Solanum lycopersicum: one gene and its partner. The protein of the gene in region 1 interacts with the protein of each later gene in a pairwise test. Links are inferred from orthologs where the notes say so. Each region holds a gene or a part of one and is shown in the gene's direction. Other genes may lie near its edges. The genes, in order: MAPK12 and phantastica.

Region 1 (13,030 bases):
TAGGTGGTGGATCTCATTAATTATGACAAAAAATATAAAACTATAATTACCGAGAATAAATTAATTAAACTGTATTATTATTAATTGATTACTTAGTATAGTTCGTGCTCCCACTTAATTTTCTAAAATAAAAATAGTTATGTCCTTTTTTCTATTTTACTTTATGGCAACTCTTTTTTCTCTTATGTCCTTTTTTTCTATTTTACTTTATGGCAACTCTTTTTTCCATAATTCAATAGGGACATGTGAGTTCTTTTACGATTGTGAAATTTAACAAATAATAGTACTTCGAGCCTTAATTATCAATCATTGCGAGAATTTGATTATTTACCAAATAAAACAATAGTTTACTTTTGAAATAAATTGTGATACAACATATTGAATGCTCAGTGTATTGTTTTGAATTGTATCCATTTGTTATGTACTAGAGCGAACAAATACATAGTAAAGTGAATTGATACACTGATAATTCATATAGAGCAAATCAATATCAATTTTGAATTGATACATTTTCAGAAGTATTGAAAACTTTAATTTGAATACAAATCCTTTTATTGGGCCTGCGAAGTCAAAGTGTAATTGATTAAGCCCAACAGAGATAGAGTCCAGATAGCCCAATTTGTAACATGGGTTTTACTTTGATCCAATATACAGAGCACGAGCCATAAATTTAGCTACAAACGACATAGTGTTATGAGCTAATTATGTCTTATTCTTTTTTTTTTTCAAATTATAAAAGTTGCTTAAAATATAAGGATTTCCGATATATCGCTCAACGTTGTGATATATCGTAACTTGATTTCGGATACATCACTCAACGTCCCTATATATCGTATCTTAATTTTAATACATCAATCATCGTCCCGATACATCACATCTCGATTTCTGATACATCGTTCGACATCTAATAATTCGGGTCCTGATACATCGGTAAGAGTGTTGTATCCAAGAACAGGTGAGAGTAGAGATTTAGGTAATTTTCCAAATAATTTTTGGTATTTCCCTCCTTCTATAGACTTTTATAGTTCGAAACAAGTTATTCTATAATTAACTATTGCAGGATAAATTATCTCATCATGTATATGAAATAACTTGTCTCATCACTATGATAAAAATGGTAGAATTAATAATACAAATACTACTTAATACCTTCAGACCAAACGCAAAACAAAATAGTTCTTCATTTTATTTCTGAATTATTATATCTTATACCTCACACCAAACGATTACTGAGAATCAAATATCTTGGATCAACCAGCATTACAGTTCAGCTAACTAGAAATCTTAACAAATGTCGCTACATTCATTGTGTAGTAAAGTCAAATTAGGTAATGACAATTGAACTTCGCTAGGAATAAATCATGTTTTTGACACTTCGCCAAATAGTTTGAACCAAACAAAAAAACTTAACTAGACGATAAAAATAATATATAAAAAATTATTCATATGGGTGACTGAGTTGATTGAACATGTGATCTTCAATGAACAGGTTACAAGGTTTGAATTTTCTTGCATATTTTCTCAGTTGAGTTCATCGCACGAAACTTTCCTAATATAATTTGCAAGCTATCATATTACATCGAAATTTATAATGTGCGGAATCAAATAATGTCTTTTTTTATGGTTGAAATGTTTTCACTCAACACAATCTTTTTACCAGAAGATCTGATTAGAAAAAAAGTAAAATATTTTGTGGTTTGTTCCTACGAATTTTCAGCTTTCATTTTTCCAAAGTCCAAACTTAAAGAAACAGATAACACATTCCTTAAATGAAAGAAAAAGTTGGTGTTTAAAAAAATAGAATTAAAGAAGCCGTAAATCAATGAAATAAGCAAGAATATTATTTTAATAAAATTACCCTTTACAAAACTAAATATTCATTATCAATATGTTTTTCTATCTTATTAATTATAATCCTAATATTTAAGCTAGTTTGTATCTTAAAATTACTATAGATTTTTAGGCAACAGGAAAAGAAATGATTCAGCTTCCACAATTTTAAAAAATTGAATGAGTCTTTTGGATAATTAAACTTTTTTTTTAGCACATGGTTTTGTTTTTCTTTAAAAAGAATGAATAGTTGCACCATTCATTCTTTCACGTCAAAAGCTTAGTGATTGGAGCAACAATTTGTATTTTTATTTCAAACTTATCCCATAATTTATTGATAGTTTCGATATTTGATATTAAATTTTGATTGAATTAAAATTGTATATTATATGAGTTATTTTTAAAAGTAATATGTTTAATTTTTTTTATAGAAGGTCAAATATAAGATTTATAATATTACTAATTATTTCTGATTTCACCACTGATCATATTAGCGATTAATTAGTTGTTGCACTATGCATGATATGAACATCATGCTAAAGTTGATTAAGATGTTTTATTTTATAATATTTTTTGTTGGTTGCTTTATTTAGGTTGGTTATGGGTTTCTATCTTTGCTAGGAAGTAAGTAACTATCCAATAATATTTTAGGGGGTTAATAACTTATACTAACACTTTTATTTCCTTAATTAGGATTTTAATTCGTATATAATATTTAATTAAATATATGTAATATTTAATTAATTGAAAGAGAGATGGAATCTGCCTTTTTTCGCTTAATCAATATTTAGCCCATAAACACTTTGATTAATTTAGCAAACTGCATGCATATGTATCTGTTGCTACAATAGAATTATGAAGACAAAATCTATTAATTGCAGTAACTTTTACTTTTAGAACATAATTGTCGATGACTCAAATCAATTTATTAATTACTAATTAATACACGTTTGTGCAGAGGGGACAAAGAAAATTCATATCATTTCACGTTAATTAAGGAGTATGAGAATTATCATAATTTTGTTTGTATCAGTCTCTAGTGCTTTTCACTATTTGTGTAATCATGTAATTTTAAAGTCAATATTTCAATTGACTTAATTACATTATTTGTTGTTGCAAAAATGATTCTCGTATGTGTTTAATATATTTTAATTAAGACGATGGATTATTAGAAATAATATTTTTATTTGTATAAAATATGAATAAAGTCGTATACACACTACCCTATTAAGAATCAGACCTTCACATATAAAACTTTATTATATTTATTATTGTATATTTTGTAATTAGATAAAGAAAAAAGAATTAATTGAAATGAAAGGGGAAATATGACGGTAAGTTGTATATCACGTCACATGTGGCTTTCACCTCACCCAAATATTAGGTCAGGTATCTTGTACACGGTGGGAAAATGCTTAAAAATTGTGCATTTTTGTTAACTTGGATGGCGATATAAATAAATTGATCGAATGATATAAATAAAAACAAATCTCAACTACTAGCGAAAATTAAAAAACTATTTTAAACGCTTTTCCCCTAATTATTTTGACGAAAAGAAAGGCATCACTTTCACACCAACCCCTTTTATTGCTTTATTATTCATTTAAGCAACTAATTAAAAAATAGCTAATATTGACAAACTCCTTAATGTAGCTAATTACAATTATTAATTAGATTACTGTGTTGTGACTTGACAACTTATAATGACACTTTTTAAAAGCCAGCTGGAAAATTAATTAAGCCCCATCATATAATTAGTAAAAATCCAATTCTATTGACATGTTAGATGTCAAGAGAACTTGATTAGGACCTTACAATAGAGGATTAATTTATTTTTAAGTACACATAGTCTTGTGAAGGCACGTTTTCAATTAATTTTAATGATATAAATAAAAAATAAATATGAAAATAGATAAGCAGACGCAATTATTATTCTCGAATACGATAAATATTATTGTCCTTGATTTACATACTATTACATTGAATTTAGTAAAAGGTGCTTACGATGCATGTGGTTCCAATTTAATGTCAGATAAAAAGAATTTCGATAATAGTTTTTCGTACGATGGTCCAGGATGAGGCGATTCTTGTTATATTTCGGCACAAAATGTGTTTTATTTGACAGTTTTTTTGAATGTTAAATATTACTGGATGAGTTACTTTTATTGACATTGGAAGCACACAATATTATGGCCTCGAGAGATATATTATACAAGTCAGACCTCATGCATTTAACTTAAAAAATATGTTTGAAAATTTCAAATATACGATCCTCATCTGATCAATCACCTTAACGATAAATTAACTATGTACTATCAAATATCTAATAGTTATAATAACTTGTTTTTTAATCCAAAGTATTTTTTGTTAGAAAAAAAACTAATCGAACCACTATAAAAATTAATTTTACCAAGCATATTAGAAAAAAGTTATATTACTTCATTGTTAGATCTACTAAATTATTTTATCCATATCGAATATTCAATGAAACCATAGGAATAATCAAGAAATTACGTCAGCACACAATCAATCTTTCAAATCGTCATTTTCTGTTGTTTTCCGCACCGTCCGATATTACATTTAGAATTCGATTATTATAAATTTTTTTAAAAATAATTCTCTATATTAAAAATCAGCTGATTCTTTTAAGAAAATATAAATTTAATATTAAAAAATACAGAGAATATAAACCACGTAAATTTAAAAACTGAATTTAATTTTTTTAGAAGTATATAAAAAGAAAGGCATATAAAGAAACAAATCGGCCGTAGAATCTTAGAAACAGAGTTAAATTTATTGGAACCGACACATTATAATAAGTACAAAATACTAATAGTTGGCAGGTTGCTGTCACTCATTTTTATCATCACTCTACTAATTGTGATGTGAATAATAATATGTATGGATATCGACGAAATTTGTGATGCGATAAATAAGATATTTTTATATCAACTCAAAGTTTTGAAAATAAAATATACTATAGTATAAAATATAATTTTATATGATCTTATTTCGACAATCACCTTTTCTACGTGTTCCCTAATTTCATGGCACTGCTTCTGAAATTTTGTCTTTGGTTACATAATTAAAGTGGAATACAAAAAGTTATTGCAAGTTGCTTAAACTATTTCTAATACAATTTTTTTTTCTCATAATAAAATGTATATTATAACCTAAAATTTCAATTACTAATGTTTTGTTTACATTATTAAGTTGGATTAGAAAAAAAGAAACACAACTAGACAACATTGTAGTTTGAATGTCACATCTTAAACAATAGATTAACTCTTGATATAAATAATGTAGTAATTTTTTCCCATAATAATTGTACTCTTTCTTCTGTATTGAATTATTAAAATTAAATTATTTGATTTGATATAATTATTTATCACGAATAAATAATTACTATTCTTTTCATATCATTCATTAATAAATATGTTTTCAGTTAAAATGAAATGATGATATACACTAGTCATTTAGGAAAATAACTATTTAATATCTTTATTAATTTGCTATATTCAAGCGTCTCGAAGATTTTTAAAAACAATTTTTTTATTTAAATTAAAATATTGTCATAATTATTAATAGTAGACCAAGTTGAAAGGTGCATGCAACCACAATATTACTCAAACTTTCCAAACTAATAACACACCAACCAATTTTGTGGTGCTCTTATAAGCACGGAGATACCTTTCTTTTTCATTATTTTATGTAAAATAGTAATTTTAGTACTCATAAAAATAATTAAATTTATGTTTTTAATCATTAATAAACTTCTAACTCTAATTAACAAAATAAGAATATCTTTATGTTAATCTACTTCTCAAAGCTATTGCCTATTAGTATTAGTATTTAACATAAATTAATATTAAAATTTAGAATATATATATATATATATATTTTTTTTTTTGCCTCTTTTGCGTGTGTTGAATGCACACGCCGCTTGGATGTCACTAATGTATTGTATATACAGATAAGATACACTCACATCACATGCACCTAATAAAATATAATACATGAAGTACTTTATACTAATATTATTATTCTATTATTAACAATGAATAATGTATTATAAATTTTGTCCTTTAATTTACTTTCATCTAATATTTATGTGTGTATTATAACAAGATATTTTAATTTGTATAACATTGAACAAATAAATACAGATAATTTACTTGACGTTTTATGCAACATTTTATGTAATGTTCTACACATATTTTGATATACAGAATAAATGTGTCTAGTGATTGATTTTTATAAAGTGTCTAATTATTTCATTAATTATCGATGTGAGACCCATCACATTAATCACACAAGAGACTTTTGTCATTCTTTAAAACTCCATCTCACACTCGGTGCTTGATATCATAAATGTTAATTGAGACAGATTTAAACTATTTGAGTTTGAATCTCTTAAAAAGGTCCCGAATGTAAATCTTATAATTTATAATTTATTTTTTTCGTATTCTAATATGAATATTTTGATTTTTTTTAAATATCGAACATCGAATAGATAGATTAAAATAAATATAGGTGCTTTATATTTGTATTGTATTTCTCCTTTCTCTTTCTAACACAACCACCCTACAGTTCCAACCCCACCTCAATATTGTCGGTGTCAGATCTCCCTCTTCCCCACCAGCTAGGGTTTCTTCAGATCCACATATCTCTTTGATTTCATACTCCATTATTAATTATCCCATCCCGGAGTTCTTGCAATTTTGAATTTTGAGATTTAGGGTTTTGTTTTTTGGAGGTATTTTTGTGGAAATGTTGAACCCATTTCTATGATTCTTGTTGAGGGAGAGTTTATGAAGGATCAGGATAACGTGATAATAATAATACCAGTTTTGGACAATTTGAAGAGGATTAGGTGGGACTGGGACTGTTCTTTCGCCATCCGTAGCAGAGGACGTTGGGGTAAATGCGGCTGAATTTCTGAATTCAACACTCTTGTCTACTTGGATCACTCGATTCGGATTTATACTTGGATTTGTGGGGTTTCTCGAATTATTTAGAAAAATGCAGCCTGATCACCGAAAGAAAGTGAGATTTTTCTTCTTTTTTTTTTTGGAAATTTAGCTTTATGGCTATTGTTTGGTGCATTGCTTTCTGATTTCTATGGTTATTTTCTTGTGATTTTGGGATTTGGATTTGTTAGGTTCTTCGTGAATTTGTTGGTTAAATAGTAATTTTCTTGGGTGGGTGTGAAAATGATTAGGTGGGTTACAATGTCAATCTTGAGTGATAAGCTGAAAAGAGTTGATAATTGATACCTTCCATCATTCCTATTTTTCGTCTCTGTCAGGCTCTGGTTCTTTTGTGCCAAGTGGGTGTTTTTGTTTATTTCTATCTTTGTTTTTATTTGTAAATTGGATCACTTATTCCGTCAACTAACTGAGATTCGGAGGCATGATTTTGTACTCGAGTCCGTTCGAATTACTTCAAGTGGGTTCCGGATTGTAAATTTGTGCAGATGGAGTTATTTGAGTTGTTCTTTGAATGGACAATCATCATTCTTTAAGCATGTTGATGATTTTGTAGTTAAAAGTATAATCTTTTCTGACACTTTTAAATTTCACAAGATGGAGGGATTACTTCCTGCATTGGTTATTTTATTTACTATGAGTGAATTCATTACAGACAATATTCAAGTTATATGCAATTCCACTATGAAAAGATACAGCGAACAAATGTTTTACTTGCTTTAAACTAGGTAATTTTTTTTATGTAATCCATCATATTGTAGTTCTGGCTATATGCTCGTTTTACTCAAATTAAAGAATGGTATTTTGCAGCATTCAGGTTTTGACTCTTCTATATTGTTGAATCATATTTTGGAAGGGTGACTTTTATTTGTTAGATTCTGTATTTGTACAAATGTTAGTAAATGACATGTGTGCTAGTTGTGATCTTGTGCATTTCTTCTAAACCGTTGCAGAACTCATAGAATTGGATGAAATATGACAATTATTTAGGGAATGTCTTGTATGATGCGTAAAGCTGTGGACGTACCATAGACTGGCAATGTTGAATGCTTGTCTATTTTATCTGAAATGAATAATCTGAGTTTATGTACCATATTGCAGAGTTCAGCAGAGATGGACTTCTTCTCTGAATATGGTGATGCAAATAGATACAAAATTCAAGAAGTCATAGGGAAAGGAAGCTATGGTGTCGTTTGCTCAGCCATTGACACGCACACTGGTGAAAAAGTCGCAATTAAAAAAATTCATGACATCTTTGAACATATATCTGATGCGGCACGGATCCTCCGGGAGATAAAGCTTTTGCGACTTCTGCGCCATCCTGATATAGTTGAAATCAAGCATATTATGTTGCCACCTTCGAGGAGGGATTTTAAAGATATTTATGTTGTTTTTGAGCTCATGGAGTCAGATCTACACCAAGTTATCAAGGCTAATGATGACTTGACTCGGGAACATTATCAGTTTTTCCTTTATCAGTTGCTTCGTGCCTTAAAATATATACACACAGGTAAATCAGTCTGGTATTTTGCTGCATCTTTTGATCCCATAGAATTTTGAGCTCTTATAATGTTACACATAATCTATTTCCCCTTATTTTCAAATTTCGGAGAGGATTATGTTTGTGTATCTCTAAATGGGGCACTGACCAGTCCTGTTGGCATCAGTAAGTGGACTAATCATTTCATGTGGGTTATCATAATTTTGATGATTCTTTGTTTTCCTGCAGCTAATGTCTACCATAGAGATTTAAAGCCGAAAAATATCTTGGCAAATGCAAATTGCAAGCTCAAGATCTGTGATTTTGGATTGGCCAGAGTTGCATTCAATGATACACCTACCACAATATTTTGGACGGTAGGTGATATTGAATGTTCGCATATTTCTTCCTCCACCACTCCCCACTTATCTGTTGAATGCATTTTATATTTACCAACATGTCATATTCATCTTTACAGGTTTTCACTCTTGTAGTAACTTCACTTGTGAAAATTGCAGGATTATGTAGCTACTAGATGGTATAGAGCTCCAGAGTTATGCGGTTCATTTTACTCCAAGGTACAGTTAGGATTTCCTTAAAAGTTCTTTCATCAATAGAATATATTGATCATGCTTTTGTGAGTTTGCAGTGAAAAAGGTCATGCAAGTATGTGGATTCTTCTTTTAAAGAGGATTATAGAAATAACAATCAAATTAAAGCGATGAAATAGGAATACAATTTCTTCTTGTTTGTATTTTTCTCTCTAATCCAACTCTTTTTTCATTGTACTTCTAGTAAGCAAATAGTTTGATGTCCAGAAAACTTGACATGTAATCAATGCATTGGTTTATAGATTGAAATGTTGTATGTTAGGTGCTGTCACAAGCTAGAAGCATTTCTCACTGTTAACCCATTGATTTGTTTCTCGTTATGATTAATAGCACCCAAGGGTGTGGCTTAGAGGTCAATGAAGTGGGTGAGACCTATGAGGTCTCAAGTTCAAATCCCAAAAAAGGACAAAAAAACACTAGGTGATTTCTTCCTATTTGTCCTAGCCTTGGTGGATAAAGTTGCCTGGAAATTGTTGTTTTGTTTTTTGGAAGTGGGGGGGTATCTCATGGATTTAGTTGTGGTGCGTGCAAGGTGGCCCGCATGAACACCACGGTTATGAAGGTAAAAATTAAAATTTTGCAGTATCTACATAGGGCGGCGGTGGCTTTAAACGTGGGATGTATATGTGCATGTCTCGTGTGATATTTCTGATTGTACAGCTTTCTTATTCATGGATCAGAATTATTGTTTACATGCTCTGCACTTGCTGAACACTTTGCATTTTACCTTTTCTATCAAATTTGCTGATCCTTTTGTGCATTATGGATATTTTGCACTGTTGTGAGGTCAATCACCCTTCATAGTAGAGTGTCAATTTTCCTGGAATTTGTTTATAATCATTGCACTGCATGTAGTTCTGACTATCACAAATTTTGATGGTTTCTGCTTGCAGTATACCCCTGCAATTGATATATGGAGCATAGGCTGTATCTTTGCTGAGGTTCTTACGGGGAAGCCGCTCTTTCCTGGAAAAAATGTAGTTCACCAACTGGATTTAATGACTGATCTGCTTGGAACGCCTTCAATGGATACAATTTCTCGTGTATGTGAATTCAATTAACATTACGTTTTTGACAATTTTTCCTCAAAACTTGTGTTTCTCATTAGACTTTTTTATGGCTGTTGCAGGTGCGTAATGACAAGGCTAGGAGATACCTAACTAGCATGAGAAAGAAGCAGCCTGTTTCTTTTGCTCAGAAATTTCCAAATGCTGATCCTTTGTCCCTTAAACTTCTTGAAAGATTACTTGCTTTTGACCCCAAGGACCGACCCACTGCTGAGGAGGTTCGTGTTAGCATGCCGATCATACTAATTTTGAGCTTTTCTTTTGGATATTTTAGTATAATTTGTTCTCTTGCATGGTAATTACTAATACACCCCCCACCCAACAAATCAGGCACTAGCTGATCCTTATTTTAAGGGTCTGGCTAAATCTGAAAGGGAACCATCATGCAAGTCAATTTCAAAAATGGAGTTCGAATTTGAGAGGCGAAGAGTGACGAAGGAGGATCTCAGGGAATTAATATTCCGGGAGATACTAGAATATCATCCTCAGCTGAGGAAGGATTACTTGAATGGTGTAGAAAGGACTAATTTTCTGTATCCGAGGTAGTATATTTTTCTTGACATTTGTGCATCAGCTTACTCGTCTAAACAAAGGATTACTGACTACATATTGCTTTTCCTTGCAGTGCTGTTGATCAATTCAGGAAACAGTTCGCTCACTTGGAAGAGAACGGTGGTAATGGCGTTCCAGTGGTTCCGATGGACAGGAAGCATGTCTCTCTTCCAAGGTGATTATGAGTCCTGGTGCTCAAATTTCCTCCTTTATAACATCGTCTAATCTAGGAAGAAGATCAAATATGACAACTTGGTATAAAGAATTTGAGTTGACTGGATGTTTGGTGCTATTAGGGAAACCAGTTGATGTTTCGGCTTGGGACGTTCCCTGCATGCACTTGTATTGCAATTCTGTGTTAGTTACCATTCTAGGAAGAAGATCAAATCTTTCCTTTTATATGACAACTTGGTATAAAGAATTTGAGTTGACTGGATGTTTGGTGCTATTAGGGAAACCAGTTGATGTTTCGGCTTGGGACGTTCCCTGCATGCACTTATATTGCAATTCTGTGTTAGTTACCATTCTCCAAAAAAAAATAAAAATAAAATTGCAATTCTGTGTTAATATCCTTCTATATATTTACATAGTATGTTTAATCGGGCCATCACTAGTTCAGATATTCAAATACTAGATTGCTTATTAAATTCATGCTTTATATGCATCTTAGTTTTGGCTTCAGATGTAAATTTGTATATGCAATCATACAATATCTGTCAGTCTTTGGTTTGCATTTTTTAAGATGAATGAATCAAAAGTTTATTGTATAACTTGTTTGTTTGGTGTTATTTTAAGTTAGAAATGATAACACGGTGATTCTATTGCAGGTCTACAGTTGTACATTCAAATCCAAACCCTTTGAAAGAACAGCCTATTGTTGCCAATATGAGAGACCGACAAAATGGTGAAGAGTCTTGCAGTAGAAACTGCAGAGATTCTGAAGGCCTTGCAAGTAGTCTAACAAGAACCCTACAGGCTCAGCCAAGAAATGCTTTAGGTATTTTCCGTCAATGATGAAATACTTTTCTACTTTGACTTTCTGTAATACTGTGATGTTTCCAATGATGCTCATATGGTTCACAATCTTCTATTTAAATCCAGCAGCCAAACCAGGAAAAGTTGTTGGTCCCGGTTTGGCTTATGATTCGGGAAATAGAGAAAAATATGATCCTAGGTCTCAAGTCAGGAATGCAGTAGGCCCCCCTCAGATTATGTCTTCAGTTTACAGCTACGACAGAAGTGGGGTGGTGAAACAAGAAAGGTCTGTTGAGACAGAGAGGGATATGAATTGTCATTCAAAGCCAATGGCACCATGTGGAATGGCTGCTAAGTTAGCCCCAGATATTGCTATAAATATTGATAGCAACCCATTCTATATGATGCGAGCTGGAGTTACAAAACCAGATCGTGTTGATGACCGAATCACCATAGACACAAACTTATTGCAGGCTAAATCCCAATATGGTGGAATTGGAGTTGCGGCGGCAGCAGCTACTAGTGGTGCAGCTCATAGGAAAGTAGGGACTGTTCAGTATGGTATGTCCAGGATGTACTAGAAAATACACCTCCAAAGTGGTGAAATTATGAATACATACATGTTGGGTGGGGTTGGAGAAAGTCCATCTCAGGAATGGTGGCAGAAACTCTTTGGACAAAAGGGTATGGTGGGTTGTACAGGCAGGAGAATCTGCAGGGGATCTAGTCCTATTTCCTAATTGTCAGTTTTTCCTAGTTGTTATCACATGAAGACTATATCATATTTTCATCATGAAATTCATTTTAGTGATGGTAATGTCCCCTCCCCTTCTCCGCAACAGCGAGTCTCTTTCTGAAATTCAACGAAGCGAAAAATGTCCCTCGAGTTTTCTTTTTTCGATCACAGTTCGTTCCTCTCATCACGAGGCATCTGGTTTAGTGAACATATAATTTCCATGCTAATTGTTTAGGTGTTCTTTGCTTATTTGTGTACATTCTGATGCTAAAACAAATTAAAAATTGTGGCTTAATGAACCACTTTAACTACCCATACACTATAATGTACCTTCTTTTTAATGCTATAATGTACTCTCTTTTTTTTTCGTTAGTAAGTTGAATCATTTTCTAGTTCATCACGAAACATCTACCAACCAAATCAATAAAAAAAATATTCATGAAATCCAAATTAATTTAATATGTATTGGTAGCCAAAACTCATCTTACATATCCTCCCAAATTAATTTGTCCAGCTATGGGGTTCAGTCTAATACACAAATGCATCTTTATTTTATCTTTGTATGGTAGAAAAGATAATTTCGATAAATTCTCAATTCAAAAAAATACAATCAAATCACGATAAAAAAAAAAATTAACAATAAAATAGCAAGATAAACTAGACATATGAAATAACATGTAATAGGAAATTAGGAAAATAAAATACTACACATATACTAACTAATATAATTACGACACTCGATTATCTATAATTCTTGACCTTCAAATCTTCCTATGTAGGGCATGTCTTTA
Region 2 (13,003 bases), on another chromosome or scaffold:
TGAAGATACGTAGATTGTTTCGATAGAAATTTGTCAATTCAAAATAAGTATGAAAATCTAACATGTTACGATAACAACATGTTAATATAATTATGCAAATAAGGTCCGAAAAAAATGATGTGTATATAGCTCTATTTCTATCTTTGTGAAAAAAATATTGTTTTCGAGAAATATTCAATCGGATAAAAATATAAATAAAGTAGAAAAAAGTTTAGCAAAATCAGTTGAATTATTCTCTAAGGTTGACTTAGAGATCATTTGGTTACAAGGATATATAAAAGTTGATAATCTTAGGATAAATGAAGATTATTTATCCCACAATCAAAGTAATTTTCCATTTTAGTATAAACATTTGGGAATTTGTTCTAAATTATAGTGTACTCCGTATATTTCATTCTTAGTAGAATAAATTAGATAAATACCAATAAAAATATATTTTTAAAGGCTCGTTAATGTGAGGAATAAAAATAAATAGTTATGAGATAAAAAAATAGTCATAAGATAAAATTTTAATAACTCATTTGATCGACATGTTTTAGATAACTTATTCTATCATTTATAACATAATGATAACATAATAATGGGATAAATTATCTATATATACAATAAAACAAATAATCCTAAAATAGTTAATCATGAGATAACGTAACAACAATATAATTCTCGATCTCAAATTATAATCACAGTATGGCAAACCAAACCACCCCATCACCTTTTTCTTCTTGGGGGAGAGTAGCATAGATAATCATCATATGTGGTCAGAGACGAGCTAGGTGAAAATTCGTGAATTAGATTGAATTCATTAATTTTTATAGATTATATATTTGTATTGAATAATTAAATAAATATATACAAATATTAATTTAACCTCCTAACAAAATTGTTTAATAATTTAATGGTAAGGAAAGAACGGTAAAAATGTCTTTCCCACTAATATTATGAGTTCAAACTCTATCATCAATCAGAGGTGGACCCGTGTACCCATCAATTTTGGAAAAAAATCATACATACTTTTATAAAATCTTGAAAAATTGATTAAAACAATAGAATATGATTAATTGCATCATGAAAAACATAGGAGTTGTTAAGTGTTATTGTGGTGCTGATACAAGCTAGATGTTCCACCTATGAAACCGGGTTTGAAGGACACTCGAAATATTCAAATTCAGAATTTACTTCTGTTTATAATATTGTAATAGTATCCGATATAAATTTAAACTAGCTAATTTTTAATATAAACATCAAATATCGAATAATAAAACGAAAAATAAAATAAAAAAAGGCATAGTTTTAATGATAAGAGGGATGAGGAGATGCTTAAATTCCTACCACAAAGGCCATCCCCTTTTCCTTTTCAGAATGAGGAGAGGGTAGTGGGCCCCACTATTATCTGATTGTGGGCTCCACACTGTGTTTTAGAGGGAGGATCTCCCTAAATTTTACAATTCCTTTGACTTGTCTCCATCATTTTCTCTACTTTCCAAAAACACCCTTCCTTTTTCTCCTTTATTACTCTCTCTTTTTTTTTTTGTTAACCCTTTGCTCTTGTTAAAAGAGAATCATTTTTATAGCTAATTCGTAAATGAGTTATCGAAAAATTAAATATCTCATTTTATATAATAGCATTGAAGTCTATCGTATAAGAAAATTTTCATATAAAAAGGTTTAACTTTCTTATAAAGATTATTTAATTTGTTTAGTTCAAATTCAAGATTTCTGATATTAAATAGTAATATTCGTTAGAATCTCATATATCCAATAGTATCCTTAATTCAATTTATCGTAGTTTAAACTTCATTCAAGTACATAGTTATTGAGATTAGCTATGACCTACAAGTTATTCTATAATTGCCTTTGGGGCTATCCGATATTATGGTTACTTGCAAAGTTATATTAAAACTTATTCACTTCGATGATACTTAACACGTCTTATGGTCAAAGACGAAGCTAGATGGAGGTTCAAATCCTATACTATCAAAAAGAATTCTTTTTTTCTCTTTAAAGAATGTATATTTTATAATATTTTTCTCTTATGCCTTAAAATTTACAATCTCAAACTCTTAATTCTGACTTTGCGCCTAAAACATTACCGCATCAATAATGAAAGTTGAAAGGGCAAATGTTGGTAAATATGAAGTTAAATAGAAGGATGAAAGAAGAATAAATATATATCTATATATATATTGGTTAATTGTACTTTATTTTGTGTATATAAAAGGGGGTGGGGGGGTAAAAAATAGATGTAACGTATCACTGACAAATGCCATAGAGAAGAAAGAGGGCAGTCAAGTCCTGTCTCTTTCAATCTTCGTCTCCTTATGCCGCGAAACCCGGACTACAGTCCCTCTCACTCTATCCCCACCCCACCCCCACCCCCTTTTTACCCCCCCACCCCCATATCAAGTTTTTTTTTTTAAGTTGCATTATCATAATTCTTATCTTTATATATTTTATATCATTTTGTTTTCGATTTTTTTACTATATTATTATTGTTACGGTTTATGTTTTCATACGTTGAATCGAGCGTTAAATTTCTCCACTCACACGAGATAGAGATAAAGAACTATTATATGTCTCTTGAAGAATGAGCCGAGTAGTTCTTTAGTGAATGAACGTAAATAAAAAAGTTATATATAATGTCAATCGATTACTAATTTGAGTGTTCATATCAACTTATATATATTTTTTGAGTATTTATATAATAGGTAACTAAACTTAGGTGATTTATGTCAAAGAATGACGAAAGTTGTACATCGACGATTAATGAGATGGGTAGACTCGTTGTAAGGTTTGGACAATCCTATTCCTTTTGAACTAGCTTTTGGAGTGTGAATTAGGCATGTGAACTAATTTCACATGATATCAGAGCAGAGCCCGTTGCTTATGCACTAGATGCTAAGCACTGATCGTGAGGGTAGTTAATTAGATAGATAGATTTCTTATAAGTTTTGAATAATACTCTTTCTTTAAAACGAATTGACAAATTAGACCTAAGACATAATTTCATAATTTATATCTAATCAAGATAAATAAAACTCCATATATTTTTTGTAAAATGATATTGTTGATTGGAATATTTTGTTTTGCCTTATAAGGAAAAAAATTGGAAAATAAATCCTTGTCTCCTATAGTTATAAAAATACATTAGACTTTCTGGTCACAAAGGCTAGCTAGTTGTCATTTCAATCCTCGTAAGTCCCGTAGCTAATGATGACCAGAGATACATAAATACAAATTTTATATTGTTTTATTTTATTACTATTTTTGTTTTACCGTTCAATAGATATTAAAATTTTGTAGAAATCTATAAAGGGTTCAATTTAAATTATCTATTTAGTCCTAAATTTTAGTAATGACTATATATATGATTTTATATTTGTTGAAAAGCATTTCGAACAAGTGATCGAAAAGTTGAAAATATCTATCACAATACATGAATTATTCATACAAAAAATTAAAATCTCAACTAACTTGTAAATTTGTGAAATATTTATAAAGAGGTCAAATTCAAATCATTTTAATTTGAGAATTATGTTACTAACAATCCTCGAATTATGAATATCAAATCTAAGTCATCCTATCTTGAGAAATACGTCACCAACTACGCTCGAATTATGAAAATCAAGTCCATACATCTAAATTTAAGGAATACGCCCACTAACGATTCTCAAATTATGAATAGATCTAGAAATCTAAAGGAAAAGAATAATGTATCTACAATATTTATCAATAAAATTATATTTCTTTATATTTTATTTATGATTACAATTAAGTTTTCATCATTTTAAAATTTATTACAAACACATAAATAATACAAATTGCTATAACAGTACTTGCTACATTTCTATTTATACATTATCATTTTAGATTTTAGTCTATTCTTACAGAAAAGAAATAGATAACCTTATGAATTTATCTTTATTTAGTAATTTTTTAAAATCAAATTTTTATAGATAAAAAAAAAAACAACCTTTAAAAAAAGATTCTTTTTAAAAGGCACTATTTTTACGAAAAAACAGGTAACCTTATGAATTTATCTTTATTTAGTTAACCTTATGAATTTATCTTTATTTAGTTAACCTTATGAATTTATCTTTATTTAGTAATTTTTAAAAATCAAATTTTTATGAATAAATCAAAAATATAACCTTAAAAAAAAGATTTTTTTTTTAAAAAGGCACTATTATCAAGGTGATACTGTGATGCTACTTTTTTTTTTCCCACTGTGGGGTTAAAGGGGTGGCAGTAAAGAGTGTAGTCACTTCGAGTAGGAGGCAGGTTTATCAGAAAAATAGTTAAAAAGATTTCATAAATAATAAAGTTGAAAACAATAAAAATCAAAACAGTATTTTTTTTTCCACTTTTCAAAAAAGTAATAAAAAAAAACTAATTTTAAAAAAATAAAAATAAAAATAAATGCAAGAGTTTTGATGATGATAGTTTCAAAGAACTAGGCAGATGCTAATCAGTACTACTGTCTACAAAACTTCCCTTACTTGCCATTATTGCATTTTATGATTCTTTAACCCCCCCCCCCCAACCTCCCAACAAATAAAAAATTATAATTAGTAAAAAAAAAATATTTTATGTCAAAGTTGAGTATAGTCTTTATTTTTTTTTAAAAAAAAAAGGCTTTATAATTTGAATATATTTTGGATCTATTGTATTTATTAAAAAGATTATGGTCAAATACTCTCTCTTTCTATTTAGTTGTCCACTTTAAAAGTGACAAACATATTAAGACAACAATAATTATCACAGGTTAGTTGTAATTCTACTATTAACTTTAAAAATTATGCAACTCTCCAAGTATAATAAATATATTTTCTGATTTCAAAAAACATCCATTACAACTTAGTAATATTAGAAATTTTCTAGAATGAAATAAGGACATATTAGGAAAAATATTATTGTCCTTTCTTGATTTATTAAAATTGACAAATAAATAGAAACATATATTAAAAAAAATATGAACAAGTATATAGAGACAGAGGAAGCATTAATTTTTAAGAAAAGTGACTTTTTTGAACAAAATAATAATACTTTGAGTTTGTCTAGTTTTAATTTAATATGGAGAAATTTTATTTAAAAGGCAATTTAAAATGAATTTATTATATGCAATTATAATTTAATCAGAGATTCAATAAAAATTTCGAACACAAAATCGAATGAGAAATAAAACAAAAAAGATTCTTGAAGATCACAAACTATTTTCGTATTTTGAACATATTTTCTGCACAAGAGAGTCTGTAATTTTCTGCAAACACTAAATTAGAAAAGCTACTATTTCAATGAAGCATGTATTTATTCATATTTTCTCTTTTTTTTTTTATTACTCAACTATTTGAAAGTTACTTGTGTATTAAAATTAAGGCATAATAAATATGTTGGATTTTTAAATTTAACTTAAAATTTTAATTTTAACCTTTAATTTTTATAATACACAAATAGATATTTTAACTATCTAATTTTTAAATAAATAAACACACGAGTTCTATATATCATAATACACGTAGGATAAAAAATGACCTGTAGGATGACATACAGGACATGTGTGTCTATTTGTTCAACTTTATACAAGTTTAAGTGTATATTTGTATACATCCAAAATTGAAGGGCATAATTATGTTTTGAAGCCAAGTTAAATAGCATATTTATATATTATGAAATTAATACGTGCTATTATTTTTAGTAATACATATTTGATAGCTTATTACTTCTTTTTTTTTATTTTATAAAACTCAGCACAAAACAATTCATGTGTACTATATATTATTTTTAGTACAATAAAAATGATTATTAATTGTAATCAATTTTTAATTGTTGTTAAATATATATTTTTATTAGCAATTGTCATTTTTTATATATATTTTTATAGTTTTTAGCGATATTGATTCTAATGACACTTAACTAATATCGGTAAAAACTTTAACATTATTTATTAATGTCAATATTTAATACTGCTAAAAGTTATTTTTATCGTAGTGACAATATTTAATAAAATAAGGATTAGATGAAAATTTATTATGCTATGTTTAATATTTCATCTTTTTTAATTTATAATTGAACATTGTACTCTATACACTGAAACTTTTAACATAACATCTAAAAATACATTTATAGCTATAGCTATAGTTCACATATTTTCGAAATTTAACTATAATTTAAATTGCCTTGTATAATCTGCAGATGAGTTAGTATAATTAACGGATAGGTTTATACCATTGAATATTTTTTTTTTGTATAAATTCAAATTAATAAATTTATACAAACAAAAATATATTAATTTTAAAAAATTATACAATATTATACACACATTCTAATTACCAACCAACATTCAAACTACAGACTTATCATAACCATCAACATCGATAGATGAGACCAACTTTAATAAGATATTAGAGTTCAAATTTTATAATAATAATAATAATGTGAATTTTTCATATAGTTGTGATTTAATGGTCATATTTATCGCAATAAATAATGATCTTAGACTTCAATTCAATATAACTATATGATTTGAACTTTTTACTATTTGAATCTTTCGCCTCTCACTTTACTTTGAATATATAATCTTGAACTTAAATTCGAAAGCTAAAATATTTTTACAATGAAAGAACTTATATTCCTTCTCAGAAAGTTTTCATCTTTTTATTTATTCGATAGAATTTTTATATTTTTATTCACTTGATAACTTAAATTCACAATATTAAAAGTAAAAACATAAATATTTATTATACGAGCAACTCTTTGCGATAATTTGAATTGAGGTGGTGATACTTCTAACTTTTTTTTTTTTTTGAATTTTACCCTCTAAGAAGATGTACAACACTAGTTGTATAATAGTGCGTGTGTACAAATAACCTTTCTGGTTAAAGACGCCATTGCCGTCTTCGTCATCACATTCTCTATACACGTCATTCTTCAAACAGAGAGGGCCATACCTTACCTCTTTTCTCTCTTATTACTCTGCATTTTCCCTTTATTTTCTGTTTCATCTCTCTTCTTCTTCTTCATTTTCTCTTTTGCTTAAACGTAGTGTATCCTTCAATTTTTTCTCTTTCTTTTACTCATTTTCTTGAAATATAATAAAAAAGATCATATGGGTCGAGCTAGAAACTGGGATGCCTAAGTTGTTTCTTGTAAGTTCTTTTGTAAATCTCTTAAAGTTTGCTCCTTTTTTTGATTCTGTGATCAAAATGATGTGTTCTGTTGTGGGTAAGTCTTATAAAGTTGTTTGCTTTTTTTTTTTTTTGGTTTACTGAATTGTGTTTGCTTGTCTTAACAAGAATTTATATTAATGGTTTGTATTTGGTGGAGATAAAGAATCTATCTTTTTGCTTTAGTGGTCTCTGCATTATCATTTTGGTCACTGCATTTTTTTTTTAATCTTTTTGCTCATATTTTCTTGAAATAGATTAAAAATGATTATATGGGTTGAGCTAAGAACTGGGATGCCTAAGTGGTATCTTGTGAGTTCTTTTGTAAGTCTATGAAAAGTTGTCTCCTTTTTTGATGCTGTGATCAAACTGATTTGATGGGTATTTTTCTTTTTTGACTTTATTGTGTTTTCTGGGAAGTGGAGTTTTTCAGTGCTGGCAGCTTGTTTCTTTATTTTTTTAAATACTGATTTGTGTGTTTTTGTTCTTTCAAGTATTCACATGTATGTCTGGTGGAGATAAAGAATCTATCTTTTTGCTCTAGTGGCCTCTGCATTACCATTTTTTCTGTCCCATATTGCACAATCTGGTTTCTGCATCTTTTCATGAAAAAAATACTGAAAGATCTAATAGGTTGAAGCAAGAATTGTGCTTCCTTTGAGGCTTCTTGTAAGATTCTCAAGTCTTGTTCCCTTTATGGTTCTGTAATCAAACTGATATGATGGATGCTTTCTACTATGTTATGTTTGTGTTTGTTTTTCAGTGTTGGATTGTGTGTGGAAATTTTTTTCTTAAGATGCTTGTCTTAAACTGAATTGTGTCTTTTTGTTCTTGCATTTACATGTATGGTTTTTATGCTATATGTGGAGAAGATAAGGAATCCATCTTTTGGCTGTAATGCTTTGCATTTCCATCATCTCTGTGCCTTTTTGCAGAATTTGGCTTCAACTGTAACTAGGAAAATGTTGAAATCTCTACCATGTTTGTTTTTGACTCAGATCTTACTAAGAGTTGTTTTTATATTGCTAGTCTTGAATCTTTCTATTTGTTGTCAATACATTTTCTGGTATAACTACCTAATTACATTTTGCATAAAAGTTCTCCCATCTTTATTGTGTTTTCTCACGTTAAGCTTGTTTTATTCTCTATCTTGATATATTGAAGATATGTGTCACTCAATTTCTGTGGATAGTCTCATTGTGGTTATCTGGTGTTTCTTGCTTTTTGTCTAGCTATTTTGATAGTGTATTCGTTTCCTCAAAAAACTTATTTTTTGAGCCTGAGAGTCCATTAGAGACAACGTCTCTACCCCACAAAGGTAGGTATGGTCTGTGTATTTCGTATGCTCCCGAAATCCCACTTGTGTGACTACACTGAGTATGTTGTAGTAGTCTCAGAGCTTGATGTTTCATAGATATTTTTGGACATGAAAACTTTAGTACTCTTAAAGGGTTATTGCAATTGAGCTAAATGAACATGTGTTAAGTAATCTAGGAAGAAGGGTGTTACTTAATTTGCATCATCATATTCTGCTGAGTTCTTTTTTGTGTTTGTTATGCACTTGCAATGATCTTGTACCTCAATGCTGGTCAAGAAGGATATCGATCTAGATAGTGAAGCCGATTGAGTATTGTGATGTCTGATTATTAATGATCCGTGTAATCATACAATTATGCCGGTACATTGTTAATATATTGCATCAAATGATTTATGTAAAGCATGTTTCAATCAATCTACTTGTGTGCACACACGTCTGCTTTCGTTTTTTCTTTACAGTCTTTTCTGCATATATCTTAGATGTGACCTTCGAATGTGGCTAGTCTGGTCTCTGTTCATGTTAATAGTTCAATGACGAAGGGTCTGAACAAAAGTAAATGTGAATATATTCTTCGATTCTTTTCTTATTTCTATCTGATTAATGATGTCTTCTAGAAATGCCAACTCAATTTTACATTATTTTTAATATTGATCTGGTCCTGAGTAGTGATACCAGATTGACATAGCAGCACTTTCTTGAAAATTATGACCTGATACCCCTAAATAACGCGGTTAGAACAGAGTTACTCCCTCTGTCCCAATTTTTGAGGCCGTGTTTTATTTGGAACTAGCATGTTGACTGTGTTTAAAATATGTACATCATTTGTTCTCATTATCTATTTTCTATTAAGTTTTGTATATGAGCAATCAGTTGTATTCTTCTCTTGGATATGTCTCGAGTACTGGAACATTGCATGAGTTTCCTTTGTTGAAGTCCTACTGAACGATCATGATCCTTTGTTACTGTGACGGTATTTTATTTAGGGGCGTTGTAATGACTTCCCATACAAGTTAAGATTTTAGTAACTACATTAAATGTGATGCACTTGCATGTACTTTGTTTGTGATCAATAGCTTGCTTAAGTTATGGTTCAGATTCTATACTCAAGTATTGCAAGTAAAATGGTGCGAAACATTCTTTCAGGAAAATTATGAGGAGTTTGGGAGGATGGAAACTGGTGTTTACACCTGGAAATGAGGGAGAGGCAACGGTGGCGAGCTGAAGAGGATGCTTTGTTGCGAGCATACGTGAGACAGTATGGACCAAAAGAATGGCACCTTGTATCACAGCGTATGAACACGCCCCTTAACAGGGACGCGAAGTCTTGTTTAGAAAGGTGGAAAAACTACCTCAAACCAGGGATTAAAAAAGGATCACTCACTGAAGACGAGCAGCGTCTTGTTATACAACTACAAGCCAAACACGGTAACAAATGGAAGAAAATAGCAGCTGAAGTACCAGGTCGAACTGCTAAAAGATTAGGAAAGTGGTGGGAAGTTTTCAAAGAGAAGCAACAGAGAGAGCAGAAAGAAAACAACAAGGTTGTTGATCCAGTAGACGAGGGAAAATACGATCACATTCTCGAAACCTTTGCAGAAAAGATTGTGAAAGAAAGGAGTGTCCCAGGTTTACTTATGGCTACTTCTAATGGAGGTTTCCTCCACGCCGATGCCTCAACTCCTACGCCACAAACTCTTCTTCCTCCGTGGCTTTCTAATTCTTCTGCTCCTTCAACTGTTAGATCATCATCTCCATCTGTGACTTTAAGTCTCTCCCCCTCTACTGTGCCGCCTACACCTACACCTGGCATTCCGTGGCTACAGACAGATAGAGGACCTGATAATGCGCCTCTCATCTTGAGCAGTTTTCCACATCATAGTGTTGCTCCTTGTGGAGAAAATCCTTTTATTACTGAACTTGCGGAATGCTGCAAGGATTTAGACGAAGGGCATCGTACTTGGACTGCACATAAGAAGGAAGCAGCTTGGAGGTTAAGGAGGGTTGAATTGCAACTAGAATCTGAAAAAGCAAGCAAAGTTAGGGAGAAAATGGAGGAAATTGAAGCAAAAATGAAAGCGCTGAGGGAAGAACAGAAAGCAACTCTAGACAGAATTGAAGCAGAATACAAGGAGCAACTAGCAGGCTTGAGGAGGGATGCAGAAGCAAAAGAGCAGAAATTGGCAGAGCAATGGACATCCAAACACATGCGCCTTGCTAAGTTTCTTGAGCAGATGGGATGCCAATCAAGACTTGCTGAACCTAATGGCGGCCGCTAAAGCAAAGCTTGCAAGCTAAGCCAAGAATTCTTTTGTGTTTCCTTGCTCCTTTAGACGGTTCTTTCTACTTGCCGCGACTTTTCTTACTGTAAACTTTTTGTTTGATCATCTTCTATTTGGTTTTCTATGTTTTCCTCTATGCATGATATGATAATTTTATAATAGCCTGCAACTTGTATTTTTGTTATCTGCAAAGGATCTGTTGCAACTTCGCGACAACATAACGTGCTTGTATCTTTTCAGTAGCAACATCTTTTAATATTGCTTACTCAATTTCTTGTGCTAGTATATAATTAGAGTGGCATTGCATGAGCTTACAGTAAGTGCGACTCAGTAGAAATTGATCAATCCTTTTTCTTTGTCGTTAAGGTGGAGGATTGAACCGAGTTCTGATATATATATGCTAGATTCCTCTGGTTCTTCATTGATTTTCTTCTTCATATGGATTTTCATCAGAAAGGGAGGTTCTCTAACAAAATGTTGAGTTTGTGTTAAAAGTAGCTATCTTTTAATAGTTTGAATATAGTATTTTATGAGTATTCTAATTTAGGTTTTAATCATCATATTTGCATGAATATCCTTCAAAAAGATATTAGAATTTAGGTTTGTTCTTGTTTCTAAGTTACTTGAAAATCTTGTTATATTTCTCAATATTAGACATCATAAGTTGTTAAAAGAGTTCAAAGAGAAATGATGGTATTATTTTGCATAGTAAAAATGTATGAACTCTTAAAACTTCCATCAATTATGAAAACATACATGTTAATAAATTAGAAATGTGTTTTTGATATGGTTGGCTATTTTTCTTGTTCTAAACATTGGAAATCTTGTCAAATATAAAACTTCATCAAAATATAAAATAAAAAAGCTCAAAATAATCTTTTTTCTTTGGATTAAAATTAAAAGTTTATCTTTATTTTTTACATGTACTACTAATAGTCCTTGGTGTTTGAAATATTAATATCCTTTCGATTTTTCCTCAATCATTTGTCTGTTTTTAAAGTTAATTTTATTCATAATTTAGTCTGTCAAATATTCAATCGCGTTATTTTATGTTTACTAGAAATAATAATTTTACGAAAAAGAAGGTAACTAGAAAAGTGCTCCATGTTCTATTCCTGTTCAATCGTCGTTGTAGCTAAATAAAAAATAATCTTTATTTTTTTGAACTATATCAATTGATCGTAGACAACTAATGTTGCAACAAATGTTTATGTACTAATGCATATTAAATTTGTCGTGATGAACCTTTCGATCTCAATATTTTTTTTTAAAGGAAAAAGATTAGATGGCGGACGAAAATTATAAAACTCTTATTATTGTGTTTTATATATATAAAAAAACAAAGATATAGTTGATTCTAGCTCAATGATAAAAGAGTATTTTAACTCTTATTATTTTGTTTTATATGTATAAAACAAAAGATGTCGTTGATTTTATCTCAAAGATAAAAGAGTATTTTAAGTTTTTTCTTATATACAAAAGTATTTTCAATTTTGGATGGGATAATTCTATACTTCTTTGTACTAAAATACTTGTCATAAATTTTTTTTGGGGAAATTGTTTATAATGGCAAACTAATAAATCAAATTAATTGTTATAATCACCCATTGATTTAATTGTGTTTCCATAGCAAACTGTTTGTTAGTCATCTCCCTCCCTCAAACTCTCGCTCGCCACTCTCCTCTCTCGCTCCATTTCTCGCTCGCTTCCTCTTACTTTTATTCAAATACAAGCGTATAAAATATGTTTCTATTTGTATAAAACGAGCAGAAATTGTACAAATACATATATTTTTGTTCCCCTCTCCCATATCTCGCTCGCTGCTCTCTCTAATCTCGCTCGCCACCCTCGCCTCTCTCGCTTATACAAACAGAAACAAAATGTATAAATTATGTTTCTGTTTGTATAAAGCGAGATGAAATTGTATATACACAAGCATATATATATATATATATTCGTCTAATACACTTATAATTCTACAATAAAAATATTCACCTGCCCAGTTTTTTCCGTCTCTCTCTTTCTCGTTTTATACAAATTCAAACTGTATATAATTTCTCACTTTTGTGTTTTATACAATTCGATTCAATTGTATATTTCCTGCCCAGGCCTCTTTTGACTTTCTCTCTTTCTCGTTTTATACAATTCTCTATCCAAATCTCTTTCTCTTTCTCGTTTTATACACTTCGTTTTACAAAAAAAAATTCTATTGTATATATATTAGCAAATTATACATTTATATGTTT

Evidence for each region.
Region 2: the proteins of MAPK12 (region 1) and phantastica interact in binary tests that used the Arabidopsis thaliana proteins (3 or more experiments, as listed by UniProt). The link is inferred for Solanum lycopersicum from reciprocal best matches to the Arabidopsis thaliana genes MPK20 and AS1.

Annotation. Positions count from the first base shown.
Region 1 is NC_090806.1:66,707,207-66,720,236, forward strand, and holds MAPK12 (mitogen-activated protein kinase 12), read left to right. Parts: upstream 1-6,687; 5' UTR 6,688-6,852; coding exon 6,853-6,876; intron 6,877-7,919; coding exon 7,920-8,328; intron 8,329-8,547; coding exon 8,548-8,675; intron 8,676-8,816; coding exon 8,817-8,876; intron 8,877-9,802; coding exon 9,803-9,952; intron 9,953-10,038; coding exon 10,039-10,194; intron 10,195-10,306; coding exon 10,307-10,518; intron 10,519-10,601; coding exon 10,602-10,703; intron 10,704-11,355; coding exon 11,356-11,525; intron 11,526-11,629; coding exon 11,630-12,084; 3' UTR 12,085-12,221; downstream 12,222-13,030.
Region 2 is NC_090808.1:4,654,594-4,667,596, reverse strand, and holds phantastica, read left to right. Parts: upstream 1-6,992; 5' UTR 6,993-7,142; intron 7,143-7,651; exon of another isoform or gene 7,652-7,829; intron 7,830-9,621; 5' UTR 9,622-9,671; coding exon 9,672-10,754; 3' UTR 10,755-10,881; downstream 10,882-13,003.